Linked DNA regions of Rattus norvegicus. The protein of the gene in region 3 purifies or fractionates together with the protein of the main gene of each other region. This does not show direct contact. Links are inferred from orthologs where the notes say so. Each region holds a gene or a part of one and is shown on either strand. Other genes may lie near its edges.

Region 1 (4,421 bases), on a different chromosome or scaffold from region 3:
TTTATTTATTATATATAAGTACACTGTAGCTGTCTTCGGACACACCAGAAGAGGGCACCAGATCTCATTTCAGATGGTTGTGAGCCACCATGTGGTTGCTGGGATTTGAACTCAGGACCTCTGGAAGAGCAGTCAGTGCTCTTAACCACTGAGCCATCTCTCCAGCCCTTGAGCAGTTTCATTATCTGACCTTGACTATTGCTCTTGGGTCTGCCAGAACGAAGTTGATTGCTCCCTGAATTGAGCCTGGTCTCTGGATTCCCAAGTGTACCCAACCTTCTCTGCTTGCCCTCTTAGACTGCCATGGAGTCCCACATTTGATGCCAAGCAACTGTTTTAGACAGGGGTTGGGGGTATGTGTTTTTAGATGTGCTGTGATTTTTTTTCTTTCTTTTAGCAACCTTAAAATTCATGTTCAAGGGGCTGGAGAGATGGCTCAGTGGTTAAGCACTAACTGCTCTTTCAGAGGTCCTGAGTTCAATTCCCAGCAACCACATGGTGGCTCATAACCATCTATAATGGGATCTGATGCCCTTTTCTGGTGTGTGTGAAGACAGAGACCATGTACTCACATATATAAAATAAATATATCTTTTAAAAAATTCATGTTAGGGGGTTGGGGATTTAGCTCAGTGGTAGAGCGCTTGCCTAGGAAGCGCAAGGCCCTGGGTTCGGTTCCCAGCTCTGAAAAAAAGAACCAAAAAAAAAAAATTCATGTTAATGAATTATGACTTGGAGGTGGGAGGTGAAATTATATATACTGTGATGTTATTTTTATGTGAGTTAGAGATGGGGACTGAAGTCCTATAGGAGCAGCTCAGCACAGTGCTGATCTCTGGGTTACTGATCTCCAAGAAGCCACCTTTCCTAGCTGCTAAGCCAGCCCAGTACCAGTGGGAATAGCCAGATTTAGCTACAGTAAGGGAATTTCTTTCCTTTTTTCAAGACAAAGCCTCACTATGTATGTTGTAGGTTGGGCTCAAACTCATGATTCTCCTAACTTAGCCTTCCTAATGCTGGGGTTCCAGGTCAGTGTCATATACTCAGCTGAAGTAAGAGATTTCTGGGCCATGTTTTCACCACAGGTTGCTTAATGTCTGTTCCCAGTTTAGTAGTTGCTGCATACTGTGGCCTTCTCTGGACTTATTTGCATAAAATAAAACAGGTCTAGCATGCCAAGAGCATTGGAAAAGCAAGTGGGAAATGGGGCAACTAAATGACATGGTTACAGGCAGGAACTCTCACACCACCTTTTACTGAAACTTGGTGTTGAGTCTAGAGTCTGCACTTGTGTTCCGAGAGTCCTTTCTGAGAAAGGGAGGGTTGGGTCCACACTGCAGCCTATGTTCAAAGTCTAGCCCTAGCACCCATCCTGCCATAGACCGGGTGGTGGGAGACTTAGGCTAGTGGGTGTCAGACGGCTGGGACACGATTTAGAAGGGCAGTTAGCTCCACCTCCCTACTTCCAAGGGTGCTAACAAGAGTGGTTTGTTCTTTTCCTCAAAGAAATTGGCCAGTTTCAGAAAATCGTTGGTGGTCTGATTGAGCTTGTTGATCAGCTTGCCAAAGAAGCAGAGAACGAGAAAATGAAGGTGAGATCAGCAGTTGGCCCTGACCAGAAACCCTGCGCATTGTAGGGTCGGTGGACTCATCTAGTTAAAACAGGCATTTAATAAGAGATGCTGGCCAGGTCGGTGTGGTGAGCTTATACGCCAGTATTTTTTAAAGACTTTCAGTGTGAATGTTTGTGTGTGCACATACCTGTGTGCATCAGCATCTAGAGGCCAGGTGTTAGATCCTCTGAAACTAGAATTAGAAATTGTGAGCTGCCATGTGAGTGTTGGGAATTGAACCGAGGTCCTCTGGAAGTACAGATACTGCTTTTAATGAGTGAGCCCTCTCTCCAGCCCACCAGTACATGCTTGTCATTGCTCCCTTTGATCGTCATGGTACCACTTCTTTTAAAAATGAAGACGCGGAGGATTACCTGGGAGAGATGCCTTGGTAAAAGGCCCAAGACTAAATGATGCCTCCCAGTAGGCCACTGCATACACTTACAGACCTGACTACTTGTGCCATTTAGTACCAGGTATGTTGGGATCAGTAGGTTAATAGGTGAGTTTAAAACCATGCCTTCTTCGGTAATGTTTCTTAGGCCATTGGTGCTCGAAACTTGCTGAAATCCATAGCGAAGCAGAGAGAAGCCCAGCAACAGCAACTGCAGGCACTGATAGCAGAAAAGAAGATGCAGCTAGAAAGGTAAGCGGCCATGATCACCTCAGACTCTTTTTCCTTCTCTGCCACCTTGGCTTTCCTCACCATCTTTCTGTGTAGAGCATTTCACTGGGTGTTAAGACTTTAAAATTTGATAGTGTGGGGACTTGGTTAATTCCAAATGGCCTCCCGTAGTGTGAGCACTGGTTCTTAGAACTAGGCCTGAGGCCACCTCCCATGCCTTCCCCTAGGGCTAGAGGTTTTGCAGGTGGTCTTAAATAGGGCTGTTTGACTCTTGCCCTGCCTTCATTCTCAACTCATGGTTTCTTACAGCTGTTTAAAGCTCTATACTCTCAAAAAATTGTGTTTTTCATTCTTTTCAGGGCTTCTAACAATTTTGTTTTTCAGGTATCGGGTTGAATATGAAGCTTTGTGTAAAGTAGAAGCAGAACAAAATGAATTTATTGACCAATTTATTTTTCAGAAATGAACTGAAAATTTCAGTTTTATAGCAGGAAGGCAAAAAAAAAAAAAAAAAAAAAAAAAGAAAAGAAAAAAAAGAAAGAAAAAAAGCACCTCAACCAAAAAACAAAGACCAAACCTCTACCATTCCAGTGATTTGATGTATGTCACGGCAGTGCTCCAGGGGCAGCTGGTAAACTGTGCAGCCACTGCTAGTGGCCAAGCAGCACAGGGCCTTACTCTTCTCAGCACAAACTAAGTGTCTGTAAATGCTGATCCACTTTTTTGGGAGAGGTAGTTAAATTCACAAGGAAAAGCAATAAATACCAAATAAATACTTTCTTCTGTGGTGCTGTGTGCATGTATTTCCAGCCCCTCTGAGCTGTTCTACAACTTCCCCCACCCCACTCCACCCCCAATCCACACAACAAACCAGGCAGTGATCAGCAGCTACCTTTATTTGGACTGGACACACAAGTCAGACAGTAATAACCACAGCAATATGGCTTGTGAGCAAAACCAGCACTGCCTCGCACCCGCTGCTCTTTGTTTCTGTAAGGAGAGCCAGTGGAACAAACAGCGACACTCACTGGACAGTCAGTTACCCTCACACATGGGAAGGACAAATGGATGTACTGTGGAGCCCAGTGGTGCAAGATGCCAGAGTAGGGACAGACGTGTGGAAGAGCGGTTCATGGAGTTAGCGCCAGAATAACTCAGAGACCAGGTGATCTGTTCAAGATAGAAATGGAGGTGCCTTCCTTCCACTGTGACCCATTTCTGGCTTGGACTCATGTGGGCCGGAGACCATGTTAAAGGTGCTAAAGAGACAAGACACTGCTCCCATTTGTTGGCTATCAAGGTCCAGTTGAGGACTTAGGTGTGTGCACTCTAGGTCAGAAGCTATCCGGCTTCTCAGCTGTCGGTTCTTAGCAGTGCTGTAGTAGAGCTTTGGCACCATTTTGCTGTCACTTGGTGGCCTATTTAGCCCTTGGAAGGTGAAGGCTTGGCATGGCCCTTGCCACTATCTTGTTCGTATGCACTGCTGTTGGTGTTTCAAATGCTGCAGCAACTTGTGTTGTTCAAAAGGCAACTGTGCTGTGGGATCTTCCTTTCCTACCAGGCTAGTGGCTGTCCCTTATTTTTTCTTTCTTTTCTCCTCAAACTTGTAGTAAGGGTTCCGAAGCATGAACAGGAGGAGTATAAGGGGGATTATTAAATAGGGGGCATAGACACCTACGAGGGTCAGTCGTTCACGGAAATTCTCAGGTCTTTGTCCCTTGAAAGCAATGGCTTTAGAGAAATCCTCAAAGAGAATCGTATAGAGGATTGGAATTAAAGTTGTTATGGTGTGAACCGCATAGATGATTGCAGGGATTCGGATCCATCGGCAGCTTCCTGAAGCAGAGGAAGAGAACAGGGTAATTAGGCTGAGAGGTGTGGCGACTTCAAGGGTGTCTGGGATATGCTCTGCCTCATCATCCCTGCTTGTCTGCTCCTCTCAGTTCAATGGTTCTGCCTCCTTTGTGGAAACTCAGACTATGCACATGAAAACCAGGTGCTGCACTGCTCAACAGGTAAGCTTGCATGACAGCTAGGACCCACCCAGTTCAGAGAGGGTAAGGGTTGGCATCAAGCTCAGTAAACAGAGGCAGCAAACATCAGCCAGTCTGGTCACAGTCTGCCCGCTACCCATAAAGTGATTCACAGGTAGGATCCCAGGGAGATAAAAGCTTTTCCATTCT
Region 2 (4,929 bases), on a different chromosome or scaffold from region 3:
CTGGAATTTCTATGTCGGCATGCAGAGAGATAGCAGTAAGTGAAGCTCTTGTTACCACATCAGCTGATGTAGGAGTGTCAACTGTGTAGGTCTCTGCTGTATTTGCCATCAAATGAATTGAAAACCGATAAATATTTTTTCGTTTTAGGTATTTCCAGAAAGTGCATTTTTAGAAAAAGGAGACTTGAAGTTCTTGCAGAGTATACATTTATTTATTTGTGCTATCACTGATTCTTAGAGTTCCTGTTGTCATTTCATTCTGGTTAATGAATATCAGTTATTATATAAAGTTAACAGTTCTGTATGGCTGGAATTAGTGTCTTTATGTATGCCAGTTAAAAACTGAGATTCTGCTTGATTATCACCGTGTTTGTTCATTTTTCTTTCCTGTCTGTTGCTGTTGATTCATGAGCGTTTGTTTCCTCCACTCCTCTTACCTCTTTTCTTCTATTTTGGGCTTGTGCTTCTCCATTTTGCTAAGTGGTTTATTGGCTTGTAAACTCTTCTTTCCTACTATAAATATTTAAAATTATAATTCCCTCCAACCTGTGTTTTACTTTCATGCCACACGTTTTGTGATGTTTTATTGTTTTATTATAGTACAGAATATTTTCAGTTTTCTTTTTTTCTTTCTTTGTATCCATTAGTTACTTAGAAATCAGTTGCTTACTTTATAAATGTACAAGGAGGCTTTTCTGGATACGTTATCATTGCTGGTTGTTATTGATTTTCATTGTGTTGAGAAAAGATTGCTTTTGAGGTACGTACCGAGATGCTGATGAAATGGTATATATACTATCTGGTGGAGAGAGGAATGAACTTGAATGTACATACAGTGACTGTAAGTGACAGGCTTAACTCAGGGAGACCGTGTAATAAAAGGCAAGGGAGGAAACCAAGTCCATCTTTGTTTGCCCTGACACCTCCTCTTACTAACATGCTCACACTCATTCAGTTTTTTCATATCTATTACAAATAAAAATCTTAGGATTCCCGTTGTTCGTTGTGATCTGTTGCCACCCCTATGCAGGCTAGACTGTGACACACAGCAGCATGGCTTAGATTTTGTGCAGCCATTCTTCAGGAAGGAGGAGAGAACCTTCCAGGGGAGGTGTCCTCACAACACTTCCATTTTGCTGTTTGTCACATTCCTCACCAAAGTTTCCTGTGGACTGGAATCCCTTTAGTTCAGGGTTCTGGCCAACTGTGCAGAAATCAGCTGGCCCCCAGTATCCCAGAGAGTGTCTGATAGATGGTGCAGGCCCATGGTTAGTCTGCTTTCCCAACACACTTCTCCAACCTCAGCATCTGTTTCCATCTTTTTCTAAGAGTTTGGGAAGATCGAAGTTAAAGAAAGAGTCTACAGTGTAATTGTCTTTTGGAAATAGATTTGTCATAATTCAGGTTCGGTTTATCTATCACCGTACTCGAGGTCTACATTCAGAACCTGTTTTTGCATTAGGAGTTGTTAATGTTGGAATGGTGTCAGAGGTGGAGACGGTAGTTGGTAACATACTTGCCTCCCGGTCACTGAGACCTGTCGAGCTCTCGGGATTCAAGTAGAAATGACTGCCAGTGCTGTGGCGGGGCAGGCTTGTCATCCCAGTGCTCAGGGAGTAAGACAGGAGGCTCCCTGTGTCCTCCCGCTGTCCAGCCTTGCACTGGTGAGCTTCTAGCCCATGAGAGACCTTGTCTCAGAAGGAGGTGAGGTGGGTAGCAGACCTGAGGATGACCCCAGAGGTTGTCTTCTGGCCTGCACACACACATGCACTCCACATGTACTCCACAAACTTAGAACTCTTTAAGAAACACTGCTGTTTTGAAAATATAACTAGTTTTCCTACCTACTTTTTCCTCATTTCTGAGTGGCATATATTGTCGTGGTGTGCTTTTAAATATTTTTTGTACAAGTTTAAGTTAAGTATGCCCATTGTGGTAAATCAGGTTCACAGTGAATAATAAATTTGAAGTAGATATATATTCAAAACATTTAAAAATTTTCCCCCACTGGTAAAATTGGAAAAGCAAGTGGTTTCTGTGAATAAAGTTGGTATGGCTATACCTTTTGTTTTGTGAAGATTAACCAGTTCTTTAAAAAATGAAAAAAAAATTCTATTAAAGGCCAGTTTAGTTCCCGGGACCCACCTGTCTCCACTGACCGCTCCTCAGTACACATGTGCGCTGTCGTGTCGGTCTTCCTTTTTTTTTTTTTCCCCCGGAGCTGGGGACCGAACCCAGGGCCTTACGCTTGCTAGGCAAGCGCTCTACCACTGAGCTAAATCCCCAACCCCGTGTCGGTGCATTTTGATGGCTTTATCAGAGTACAGTACAGTGAGGAGTGTCTCCATATAATGGGATGAATGCTCTTACCTATAAAAAAGGAAAAATCAAAACCAAAACCCCTGCTACATGCTACAACATGGGTGGACCTTGAAGATAGCACTGAGTGAATGAACTAGATGTGAAAGGATGAGTGATGCTGGGTGGATAAACAGCTTTCAAGGTCCTGTTTGACCCCTAGAACCTACAGAAAAGCTAGGCATGGCTGTACCTGCTGGCGCTTACAATCCCAGTTCAGAGGAGGAGGTAGGAGCACAGATTCCTGGGGCAACAGCCAGCCCGGCCTCAGTGGTAAATTTCAGGCCACTGAGAGCTCCTGTCTCAGGGAGGGAGGGAGGGAGGGAGAGGTGGGCTGGGGAGACGGCTCAGTGGTAAAGCCCTCGCCGCTCTTCTAGAGGACCTGAGTTTGATCACCAGAACCCACATCCGGTGATTTATTTCTCTAGCTCCACAAGTAGCAGATACACATGCACACATAAAATCAACCAGTCACATGGGCACCGCAGGAGTGAGCCAGAGCTCTCCTTCCTCCCACTGGGGGTTACAGGTCCGTGCCTGCGCACATGAGGAAGATGAGGTGTTATGAGAACCCACCATGGCTAGGTGTCTACCACAGGAACTCTTAGGGACAGGTAGTAGAGTTTACCTAGACCTGGATCAGTGGTAGCATTTTCTACTTGGAATGTTTAAAAATGTGTAAATAGTAGTGATGGTTCTACAACACTTATATTTAATGCCACCCATTTGTAGATTTTAAAGTGGCTAAAACTGTAATCTTGGTTAAAAAGTTAAAACCAAGTCAAGCAGCAAATGACAGATTTACTGTTACCCTCTTTTCAGTGTCTTCTTCTGTCATGAAGCACCTGTGTAGCAGTCATACTGAGTGGGTGCTGATTGAATGCTTAGTATCAGTGAGCATTGACTTGCATTGCTTTTACGTTGCAGCTGGTCTGGGTGGGTGGGTGGCTGGGTAGTGTCTGGGATGGAGCCCGGCTTTGTTGCCCAAGCTAACTGTGGATTCCTGATATCAAGTAATCTTTCTGCTTGAGCATTCATAATCTGAGACCTTTGTTCACTTCCTAGCAGCCAGGTAGAAATGGCTGCCACGGCGGTAGCAGACATATTATATCCTTGTGTACATGTATGCACTACCACACCTAATTTGTGTGTGTGTGTGTGTGTGTGTGTGTGTGTGTGTGTGTGTGTGTGTAGTATTATTTTGTGTTAAATTTTGAATGGATCTCCTTTGTTTTGTAGTTACTTCGAGAGCTTAAGCACCCAAACGTCATCTCTCTTCAGAAGGTGTTTCTGTCTCATGCTGATCGGAAAGTATGGCTTCTCTTTGACTATGCTGAACATGACCTCTGGGTAAGGTGGACTGCTGGTAGACAGGCCATTGTTTTCAGTTAGGCTTGAGAGTGACTAAACAGCTTCCACTGCACTAGAAATCACTTTACAGAGTAACAGTCGATGTATTCCCAGCCTGGAGGCTTTTGCTTTGTTCAGTGGGTTGAGCTCCCTTACCACAATGCTAGACAGCAGAAGTGTCTCAGAGTTTTGATGTTTCAGATAAGAGGGCACTTACTTGCACCTATTTAATAAGACCTCTTGGAGACTGACATCATGTCTAAACTTGAAGCTCACTTGTGTTTTAATTTCATATTTACCTTATACATATAGCCTGAAGGAAATTTCATGCATCGTTTATAATAATCTTGTATGTGAAACAAAGTTTCACTCTGTGGAATCATGTTAGCTTTCAAAAAGTTCTGAAATTTGAAGCATTTTGGGTTTTCAGGCTAGAGAGAGTCTCCAGTATTTCTTTTGATCCTGGTGTTTTGACCTTTGTAACCGATGGGAAAGAAGTAAGAGGACTATGAACAGTGGCGGGAAAGCATTGCTTCCTGATAGAGTTTTCATTTGGAAAGGCGACCTTACATCCTTTCCTTTACTCTGTAGTGTTAAGGAATTTAAAATGAAATAGTACTTCTGGGTGAGCGTGCTATAAAAGCATAGCCGGGTCCAATTACTGTCCCTGCCTTGTTCTGTGATGCAGGAAGGTCTCCTAACAGTTCTGAAGGGGTTACGAGTTGAGTAGCTAAGCATGGGAAGCTTATTGATCACTCCCTGGTTATTCACACCTGATATTTAATGTAATACATCCCATCTTCATTGGCAATGATGTCTTACTGTCTGACTTGCCATCCTTTTGCATAGGAAAAGACAGTCACTGCAATGAGAGCCACACTACAAAGTGAGATCAGCACAGAAGTAGATGGCAGTGTCTCTTGTGGGCTTGGTTTTAGGCTTGTCTGGCTTACAACATTTATACAGACAGATCCAAATGGTATATTCGAAGATTTCTCCAAGGAGGACTCACAGTTTACTGGTTTAGCCAGTATTGTGAAAGGCTCATACTGTATTGATAAGAACGTAAATGCATTTTGCCTTACACAGACAAAGTAAAACCATCTGCCTCCCTATCTCCTACGTCCATGCAGCTAACCTTAATTGAACTCAGTGGGTCACACACTGTACAGGATAGGACAGCAGGACATAGAGCTCTCTGTTACATTCAGTATGGCTTCC
Region 3 (4,929 bases):
CTGAGTTGTGAATACATCTCTTTCATTAAGTATAATTGATAATTAGTCTGATATAAATGATATTAAGTGGGGCTTCAGGTGACCGATAAATTTCAGGGATTTCCAATTCTTGTATAATGTTTCTGTAGGTAACTTTGTGTATCTAAACACTATGCTTGATATAGTTAAGAATAATTTGTATTTTCAATTTGTTCAAATTAGGCAACAGCTGTTTACCAGGCAAAGGAGAAACTCAAGTCAATAGAGAAAGCAAGAAAAGGTTGGTACCATGGGAAGGCTGCCTGACTGAGATACAAGCCTGTGTCTTAGGATGCTGATGAGGACTGGGGAGATGTGCAGTGGCTAAAAAGCTTGTTCATGTGATCTCTAGAACCCACATAGAGCTGTGTATGTGCCTACCCTCACATGCTTTCACATACACATGCACACATTCTCACCTGCATGCACATGAAAATAAAACATGAGTTGATAAAACTACTACGGTCAGGCTGTTGAAAGGGTGCCCAGGAGTTATCCACTGTAGCGTGTACTGTGTTTGTGTAGTTGGCATCCTGAAGAGGGTAGCCGTACCTCGCAGCCCTCCTGTAGTTCAGTATAGAATAATAGAAGGGATTCGTGCTTTTCATTCACATGTGTAGTGACGACAGTGGTTTACAGACTGGAAAGACAGAGGAGCAGGAGTGAGCTTGGATCTTGTAGGCAGAGATAATGACGGAATCCACACAACTACCTGAGAAGGGAACACTGGAGTCAGCATCAGCTGTACACGTGCCTGCCGCTCGGCCTTTAGGCCTTACACTTTCTAGTCAGGAGACCGAGAGTGAAGTCTCTGCTGTCGCTTTAATGCTCTGTGGATTTGGGTTACAGTTAACCATTTCTCTATCTGACTTGTTCTGCTTGCCGGTATGGAATCTGTTTCTCATTGTTATACCCAAGAAAACGGCTAATATTCTCAGAGAGACGGGTGGGCTTCTGTAGCAGAGGCAAGCCTGTAGGAGAGGTGGCTGAGTCCATCAATCAGGACTGGGTAGGAATCCATAGTGCTTTTTGAAACAGGTCTAGAGTTCATAGAGTACAAATCTTCCCATTCCTCAGAGGTAACTGCTGTTTCTGTTTGGTGCACAGTCCATGTAGAGCCTCTTCCTTTGTGGTCACAGAGGATGTGGACTGTTTGGTTAGCCGCTTGGATGTTGCTGGAACGAAAAGCTCTCCCCTTGGTTTACTGTTCCTCACTGTGACATTCAGAAGAGCTCTGCATTTGCCGTCGGCCAGTAATGGAGATTACTGAGCATTATCATGCTGGCCTTAGATTTATGGTAGCTGACCTCGCCGAGTGGGTGCCTTGGTTCTTTAGTTAGACATATATGTGTAACAGTTTTGGTGTACATGAAGGTGTTTGGGAGGATAGATGGCTGAGATGAGCCTGATAGTTAAGTGTGGTGTGTGACTGTGACGTGTGCTCTTCTAAGCTTGTGTTTAATGGTCTGTCCTGTTCTGTTTTCTCAACTCAGGCGCTATCTCCTCTGAAGAAATCATTAAGTACGCACACAGGATCAGTGCCAGCAATGCTGTATGTGCTCCACTGACTTGGGTTCCAGGTAACAGTGCTTCTTTTCAGATGAATGCAGGTTAAGCGTCCTGAGGTGCATCTGTAGCATTCTAAGTGCCTGTGTAGAACACAGAAGGATACTGTAACTAATTCCTGTTACATTGTTTTTACCAAGCAGTGATGGGAAGTGTTTTTTCCATTTTACTTTTAGTGCTAATAGGTCAATCTGGGACACTTTCAAAGCAATAGGTTCATATACTTGTAACACCCAGGCTGGCCAGAGCCAGTCCTTCAGTGCCATTATATTCCTGCAAAGCCTCAGCCTGAGAGGCAGTCACAGAACAAACACCCAGCGCAGTTCACCAGCCGGGAAGAGCGGGAGCATTAGGGACAGCAAAGATAATACAGTGCAGTCCCAGCACTGCAGATCAAGTAGGAGATGGGAAACCAGAGCTGGAGCAGCGGCCTCCGTGGAGGATGGAGAGAGCCAACTGGGCTCTGCTCACTCCTGACCGGTGTTTGTTGTTGCTGAACACAATGACGGTGGCTGCAGTCTGAGGATGGGTAATTCCTGGTGAGAAATATTACCAAATTTGGGTGTGGGTGCCATCCCAAACTGCTATTCAGTGTCCCTCTTTGATGGGAATGACAGTAGGTTCTTGTGATAAAACTGGAGAGGTGTAGAAACTAGTCTGTGTATGTTTCTTTGTGACAGGTTTATGTCTCCTAGTCTGGTTCTATCTTATGTATTTGAAGGTGACCTTGAGCTGTCCCACCTCCACCTTGAGTTGCCTCTGTGCAGTCCTATTTCTACTTCCAAATGCTGGGCTACGGGTGTGATTATAGGCGATGTGCCCACCACCCCTACTTTTTTTACCACCCCCATGTTTTTTACAAAACATAGAATGTATATTCCTGGGAGGATTCAGAGAAGAAACAAAAATGTGTGCATTTTGAAAATTAATATTGGGAGCTAGAGAGATGGCTCAGTCATAAAGAGCACTAGCTGCTCTTGCAGAGAACCTGGTTCAATCCCAAGTTCACACATGGCAGTTCACTTGTCTGTAACTCCAGTTCCCCCGGACTTCTGACACCCTCACACAGACATGCATGAGGCAAAACACCAATGCACATAAAAGAAAAATAAATGATTTTAAAAAATTAATATAATATAGTCTCTTTCTCCTCCAGCCCCCTTTCTTTTATTCATTGAGAGACAGTTTCTCTGTGTAGCCCTCCCCGTCCTGGAACTCACTTTGTAGACCAGGTCAAGTCAGAGTCCTGCCTCGCTCTGCCTCCTGAGACCTGGGACTAAAGTTGTGTGCCGCCGTACCCAGCTTGAGAATAGTAATGGTAACCTCAGGCAAGGTGTGGTAGCACATAGCGTAGGCAGCTGTGAAGAGGCCGGGGCAGGCCTGCAGCCTTGAGGCTAGCATGACTACCTGCTGAGACCTGTCTTACAAGCGCTCCGGTCCTTTAGTGTGAACAAGGACAGCTAATTCTTCAAGAATATATACATGATTTTAAACCTGAGTTAAAAGCTGTCTTTATTGTTTTAGGAGACCCTCGACGGCCATACCCAACTGATTTAGAGATGAGAAGTGGATTGCTGGGTCAGATGAACAATCCTTCTACCAGTGGTGTGAATGGTCACCTCCCGGGAGATGCCCTTGCAGCAGGTAGACTGCCAGGTAATGCTAACTGGATAGGCGTTTTCAAGCGACAGGGTTATTCAGAGGTGGCCGTGAGGCAGTGTCTAGCATTGGGCACCAATATTGTTACATAGATTCCCTACCAGTTTATTGTTCTGTGCTTCATCCAAAGACCCAGCAGTGGTGCATAGGTCACTGACCTAAGCCACTCTGTCCCTCACGTGCATCTATCTCCTATCACCCTCCCCAGGCCTGGCCTTCCCTTATCGTGACCACTCTGAAGAGCATTTTTGCAGTTCTGAGGCATGCTCACAAATAGAATAAGCTCATTTTGTAGGTGCCATGTTTAATGTGAGAGAATCTTTCTAAGGAGAGGACATAAGTGGGGGACTGTGCTTTCTGAAGCTATCACTTCTGTGTTAACATGTGGGTTTGGGAATCTGCTCATTTGTGTTTAGTATTGCGAATCCTTCTTGTTAGATCTTGGTACTGTAAGGTAAGTGGGTAGGTAGATAAGATTAAGATTCTTGCATAGAGGGCGGGGATCGAGTAGATGGATCACAAGTAGAACCAATCCCTTATGCTTCTTCTCCTCAGATGTCCTTGCTCCACAGTACCCATGGCAGTCAAATGACATGTCTGTGAACATGCTGCCGCCAAATCATAGCACTGACTTTCTGTTGGAGCCTCCCGGGCACAACAAAGAAAATGAAGATGACGTTGAGGTTATGTCAACAGATTCCTCAAGCAGCAGCAGTGACTCTGACTGAGAAAGGGGTGGCATGCAGACTCCACTGCCACAGAGTTCTGTCAAGTGGGAAATGGAAAGCACAGACCTCTAAGGAGCCCAGGAAAGTCAGTGGTCTTTCTTCCTGTAGCCAGAACTGCTGGTTCTCATCTGTTACACACGTGTTTGAGGGTTTGTCACAATTACTGTTGTGCTTGGTTTGTACATAGCAGCTATGGGATGAGACTGAAGGAGAACTGCACAACTCATGGAGAGTACTTACCAAGGGCACTGAGCCAGGCTCCTGCCTTAGTCCCAGCGCCTGGGAGGCTGAAGGATTGCTGGGAGTGTCGGGCCGCCTTGAGCTATGTAATAAACTGAGCCATCAGGGTAGCAGAACAAGAACAGAGGCATGGAGCTCTGTGATATTTCAAAAAGTGCTCACTTGAAAGTGAAGTTGTCTGCTGTTACAGTGACAACTGTCAATATTTATATGTGGTAAATACTGTAATTTGTGTAAATAAACTTGGTTTTGTTTGTATTTAATTATTTCAATTTTTAAAAAATAGATATTTTAAATTTAGGTACACCTTCAGGGTAGGAATGAAACATTTAAATCCAGTTGAATTTAAGCTGGGCAGTGGTGGCACATGTCTTTAATCCAGCACTCAGGAGACAGAGGCAGGCAGATCTGAGTTTGGGGCCAACTTTGTCTACAGAGTGAGAAGAGTTTCAGGAGTACAGAGAAACCCTGTCTAGAAAAAAAAATCCAGATTATTTTATAATGTTCAAATAAGATTCTGGTATATATGAGAACATATACCATAAAATGACTATCTTAACTGGTATTCACAATTAAGTTTCTGAGATCATTAATAATTGAAAACATTTATTATATTCCCATACCACACAGACACACATGAACATCAGGTAAATTTTATGGAAGGCTTTAGAAGGCCACCATCTCATGCCATCACCTTGTCTCCTTGTGACTTTTTTCT
Region 4 (4,279 bases), on a different chromosome or scaffold from region 3:
CTTTACTACATCAACAGAATGGCTTATTTGCAGTCACCTGGACTGGGCTTCCAGTTAGAAGTTTGTTGAAGAAACATGTTCTCCTTTCCTTTCAAGCACGCTTTGTATTAGATAATAACCTGCTCCGTGTGACGCCCAACGAGAGTTTGTTTTTGCTTTTCAAATGATAATTTTGTCCCAAAGTTTAAGGATGAAAGCATGACAGTCCAAGGCAGTGTTGATGCATGACTCACATGAGTCTGATTTTGCTTTTATAATTTCCTTTTTGTATTCCTTTTCACACAGTAAAGCATGGTGACTTGTTTTGCAGAGTCCCTGCAGCCTTTCCTGGAAGCCTGTAGCAACTCTCTGTTTTTTCGTACTTGTTCTGTGCTGCTGCGAACCCCTAAACTTGATCTTCACATCCTAGAAAAGCTCAGCATTATCCTACAGAAGCTTTCCAAAATCAAGTAAGGAAGTCATTTTTGTAACATTCTTAATTGATAATTATATTGTGATCATTATTGGGGTTGCTTTTTCAGTCTCAATCTCAAGCCGGTTTTACTTATTACTTCATTCTAATGTGATCATGATTTCCAGTCTATAGATGTAAAAATTTAAGAATCAAAGACCACATATTTGGGGCTGGGCAGAGGCTCAGCAGGTAAGAGTAGGTACTTTATAAGCCCAAGAACCTGAGTTTAAACCCCAGGACTCACATAAAAGACTAAGTGTGGCTATGTGTACCTTTGAGCCCAGCACTGTGAGATAGATAGATAGGAGATAGAGACAGGAGGATCAGCAGGCCTTGGTGTGCAACAGCATAACTCCAGGTTCAGTGAGAGACCTTGTTCCAAGGGAACAAGTCAGAAAGTGGTAGATAGTAGTACACCAGACATCCTCCCTTGTCCTTTATGCATACACTCACCTGCACATGCCTGTACCAAACAACACACACACACACACACACACACACACACACACACACACACACACACACACACACTTTAGAGACACAGATTTAATAATGGACATTAGTCTTTGAATATATATTGTTGTTCCTCAGTTGATTCAGTTCATGAACTTTAAATATCAGACAGCATGCAAAACCAAGAAAACGGCTTTCTTAAGGTTGAGAGGGAGATTATTTGTATATTGGGGGTTGCTTTTTGTTTTTATGGTACTAGGAACCCAGGACTAACTGCATGGCTCTTCTAATAAGAACAAGGTTATTAATCAAGTGATAACATCAGAACAAATCACTGTATACTGATATTTTATATGAGTCAAATGAGAAAATCAAAGTGATAGTAAACGTGCATTGGTGCCTGTCTGTGTGTCTGAATGTGTGTGTGTGTGTGTGTGTGTGTGTGTGTGTGTGTGTGTATGTCTCTGTGTATCTGTGTCTGTGTATGTCTCTGAGTGTATGTCTCAGTGTCTGTGTGTTTGTATATCTGTGTGTGTATATCTGTGTGTCTGTTGTGTCTCTGTCTCTCTGTCTGTCTCTCTGTATGCGTGTATGTGGAAACTCAAGGTTGAGGAAGTGTCTTCCTCTTCTTTTTTGAGACCAGGTCTCTCTCTGAGCCTGGAGCTTGCTGATTGGCTAGGCTACATGACCAATGAGTCTGGGAAACCACCCGTCTCTACCTTCGTTAATGTGGAGCTATTTGATAATTTCTCTCTGAGATACATTCAGATAAGAAAATAAAATATGGTGGAGTTCTGTTTTACATTTAGGATAGTATTCTAATTAAAATGAAATTACTGAATGCCTTCTCTTTTTCTTCTTTCTTTTTCTGCTCCTCTTTTCTTCCTCTTCCTTTTCCTCCTCTTCTTTCTTTGTTCCTCCTTCTCCTATTCTGTTGTTTTGTAAGACAAAGTCTGTCTATGTACCCCTGACTACCCTAGAACTTGCTGTGTAGACCAGGCTGTCCTGGAACTCAATCTGCCTACCTCTGCCTCAGAGTGCTGGGATTAAAGGCGCTCAGAATGACACCAAGCTTGAATGTCTGTCAGAGAGAAAATGAAAAATAGTATATTTGCCATTTTAGATCCTTAAGGTAACTGTCAGTCTCTGTCTAACTGTGGGAAGCAGGGGTTCCTTGTTCCTAGCAGTTTTATTCTGTTAGTGAATTTGGATCAGTTTTTAGGATATAAACTATTTTCTTTTTTTGCCTTTAATGTTTTTCCACTCTGGGCTTAGCTCATAAAACCTAGTTTTCTTAGCTTCTTAATCCTGTAGTCAGCCATTTTCTCCGTTGTTTTAAAAAGCAAGTGCTATTTCCTCACATTTGCATAATTCTCTCAAGTTTATAAGTAATAAGTAATATGCCCATTCTTTTACAGGAGTAACAAGAAACTCTTTGAAGTTTTCACCATTCACCTAATGCTTCAGGAAATACAAAGGACAACACATCCAGAGCACGCCTTTCTCTGTATTAACCTCAATTCAACTCTGTTCAATCTGGGTTTGACAAAATGTAACTCCCTGGTCTCCAGTATAGGCCATTAGAGTGTGTGTGTGTGTGTGTGTGTGTGTGTGTGTGTGTGTGTGTGTGTGTGTGTTCTTTATTTGTAAAAGTGGAAAAATCACCAAAGTACAATTCCACAGAGTAAAATTATCACCAGCATCATTTATCATGAAAGATACCTAGAAAGATTTTTCAGCTTTGTAAAGGAGACCCAAAAGGTATGGATGTTTTAAATGTTTCAGTTGAAGGTAATACTAATGTACAAGGTGGCTTTTTCAGAATTCAAGGCATCAGGGTCAGCATGCAAGGCAACAGGGTTATATTTTATAAAAAAATTTAGGAAAAGTCTTTCTTGAAATTATGTGAATATTTGGAATATAATTTGTCCTTATGTGGAAATAAACTGTTATCATTTTTCCCTTAATATAGTAGAATCCCTTCTCTTGATAATATATTTTCTTAAAGATAGGGTTTTACGTAGCACTGGGTGTCCTGGGACAGACTGGGTGTGTCAATCACGCCTCCTACCTCTGCCCCCAAGTGCTGGAACCAACATGCCTGCCACCACACCATTTAAGTACTTACCTTGTATTTGTTCATTCTTTTTTTCTTTTACCTTTATTTGCATTGTGGTTGTTAGGCAGGTACTATGCTAAGCTATAACTCGAGCCCAAGAGTATATGTGGTTTATACAACATTGTTTTATGACACTGGATGCATACTTTATGAAATTGGGTTAAACTAGGAACATGATGTGTGTTCTCCATTCTTGTTCAGTACAGTACTAGAAGTCTCAGCCAGGTCATTAGGATAAGCTATAAGTAAAAAGAATACAAATAAGAAAAGAAGACAATAAAGTTTCCTAATTTATAGATTCTATGATTTTATGTAGAAGAGAACCTAAAGATTCCATCAGAAAACTCTTAGACTGATAAACACTTTCAGCAAAGTGGCAGGATACAAAATCAGCACACAAAAGCCATGGCTGTACTGAATGCCAATAACATTCTGAGGAAGAAATCAGGAATAGAATCTCACAATTGTCATGAAAAATATACACCTAACCAAGGAAATGAAAGACTATACTGAAGGAAAAAAATGGAGGAAGGCACAACAGAATGGAAAGACCTCCTCATGGATTAGAACGTTCATTGTTGTGACGATGACTGTCTTACTAGAGGCAATCTACAGATTCAATGTAATCCTCACCAAAATTCCAATGCCACTAATTATTGAATCATCATTATCAGTTATCATCATCGTCATCGTCTTAGAATTCTCCTGGAAGCTAAAAGTCCTCAGTCTAATCTGTCTGGGCGTAGAGCCTTTCCTCACCTCCTCTGTACGGCTCCCTGAGTTTTTCCCAGCGGTGTAGTTGTCCATGTGGTGGACTCCGTCACTGGTCCTCCACACGCTGGCCAGTGTGTGTTCCTGCATTAACTGCCTCCTATTGCAGTAAGAAGCATCTCTGATGAGGTCTGAGTGTAGCCTTATTTTCAAACGGCAGACTGGGAATTGAGGATAATGATGTGGTATAAACGGCAGACTGGGAATTGAGAATAATGATGTGGTATAAACTCTGTCCCCCAACAATTAGCTTAAAATTGTGATTAACTCAAAACCTTAAAATTAAGTAATGCTTATTTATAAAAGTATCTGAATCGGTGGGGCTGGAGAGATGGCTCTGTGGTTAAGAGCACACTGGTTACTCTTCCAGAGGACTTGGGTTCATTTCCCAGCACTTACATGTGGTTCATAGCACTCTATAATCGCAGTCCCAGGGCATCCACTGCCCTCTTCTGGCCTCTCCAGGCACCAGGCATGCGTGT

Evidence for each region. The genes of interacting proteins can lie anywhere in the genome.
Region 1: the proteins of Med4 (region 3) and Ift20 purify together in Homo sapiens (affinity purification with mass spectrometry; 3 studies listed by BioGRID and IntAct, with this or other methods). This does not show direct contact. The link is inferred for Rattus norvegicus from reciprocal best matches to the Homo sapiens genes MED4 and IFT20.
Region 2: the proteins of Med4 (region 3) and Cdk8 purify together in Homo sapiens (affinity purification with mass spectrometry; 9 studies listed by BioGRID and IntAct, counting the BioPlex papers as one, with this or other methods). This does not show direct contact. The link is inferred for Rattus norvegicus from reciprocal best matches to the Homo sapiens genes MED4 and CDK8.
Region 4: the proteins of Med4 (region 3) and Ccdc138 purify together in Homo sapiens (affinity purification with mass spectrometry; 3 studies listed by BioGRID and IntAct, with this or other methods). This does not show direct contact. The link is inferred for Rattus norvegicus from reciprocal best matches to the Homo sapiens genes MED4 and CCDC138.

What each region holds. Positions count from the first base shown.
Region 1 is NC_086028.1:63,933,157-63,937,577, forward strand, and holds the end of Ift20 (intraflagellar transport protein 20 homolog), read left to right. Parts: intron 1-1,506; coding exon 1,507-1,592; intron 1,593-2,155; coding exon 2,156-2,259; coding exon of another isoform or gene 2,260-2,263; exon of another isoform or gene 2,264-2,622; coding exon 2,623-2,704; 3' UTR 2,705-3,016; downstream 3,017-4,421. Other genes in the region: Tmem97 (sigma intracellular receptor 2), read right to left, coding at 3,815-4,074. UniProt on the Homo sapiens protein: Part of intraflagellar transport (IFT) particles involved in ciliary process assembly. May play a role in the trafficking of ciliary membrane proteins from the Golgi complex to the cilium.
Region 2 is NC_086030.1:13,886,088-13,891,016, reverse strand, and holds part of Cdk8 (cyclin-dependent kinase 8), read left to right. Parts: coding exon 1-35; intron 36-3,597; coding exon 3,598-3,708; intron 3,709-4,929.
Region 3 is NC_086033.1:55,111,886-55,116,814, forward strand, and holds the end of Med4 (mediator of RNA polymerase II transcription subunit 4), read left to right. Parts: intron 1-201; coding exon 202-259; intron 260-1,511; coding exon 1,512-1,598; intron 1,599-3,108; coding exon 3,109-3,240; intron 3,241-3,798; coding exon 3,799-3,971; 3' UTR 3,972-4,469; downstream 4,470-4,929. UniProt on the Homo sapiens protein: Component of the Mediator complex, a coactivator involved in the regulated transcription of nearly all RNA polymerase II-dependent genes.
Region 4 is NC_086038.1:27,112,581-27,116,859, forward strand, and holds the end of Ccdc138 (coiled-coil domain-containing protein 138), read left to right. Parts: intron 1-285; exon of another isoform or gene 286-310; coding exon 311-449; intron 450-2,325; coding exon 2,326-2,491; 3' UTR 2,492-2,874; downstream 2,875-4,279.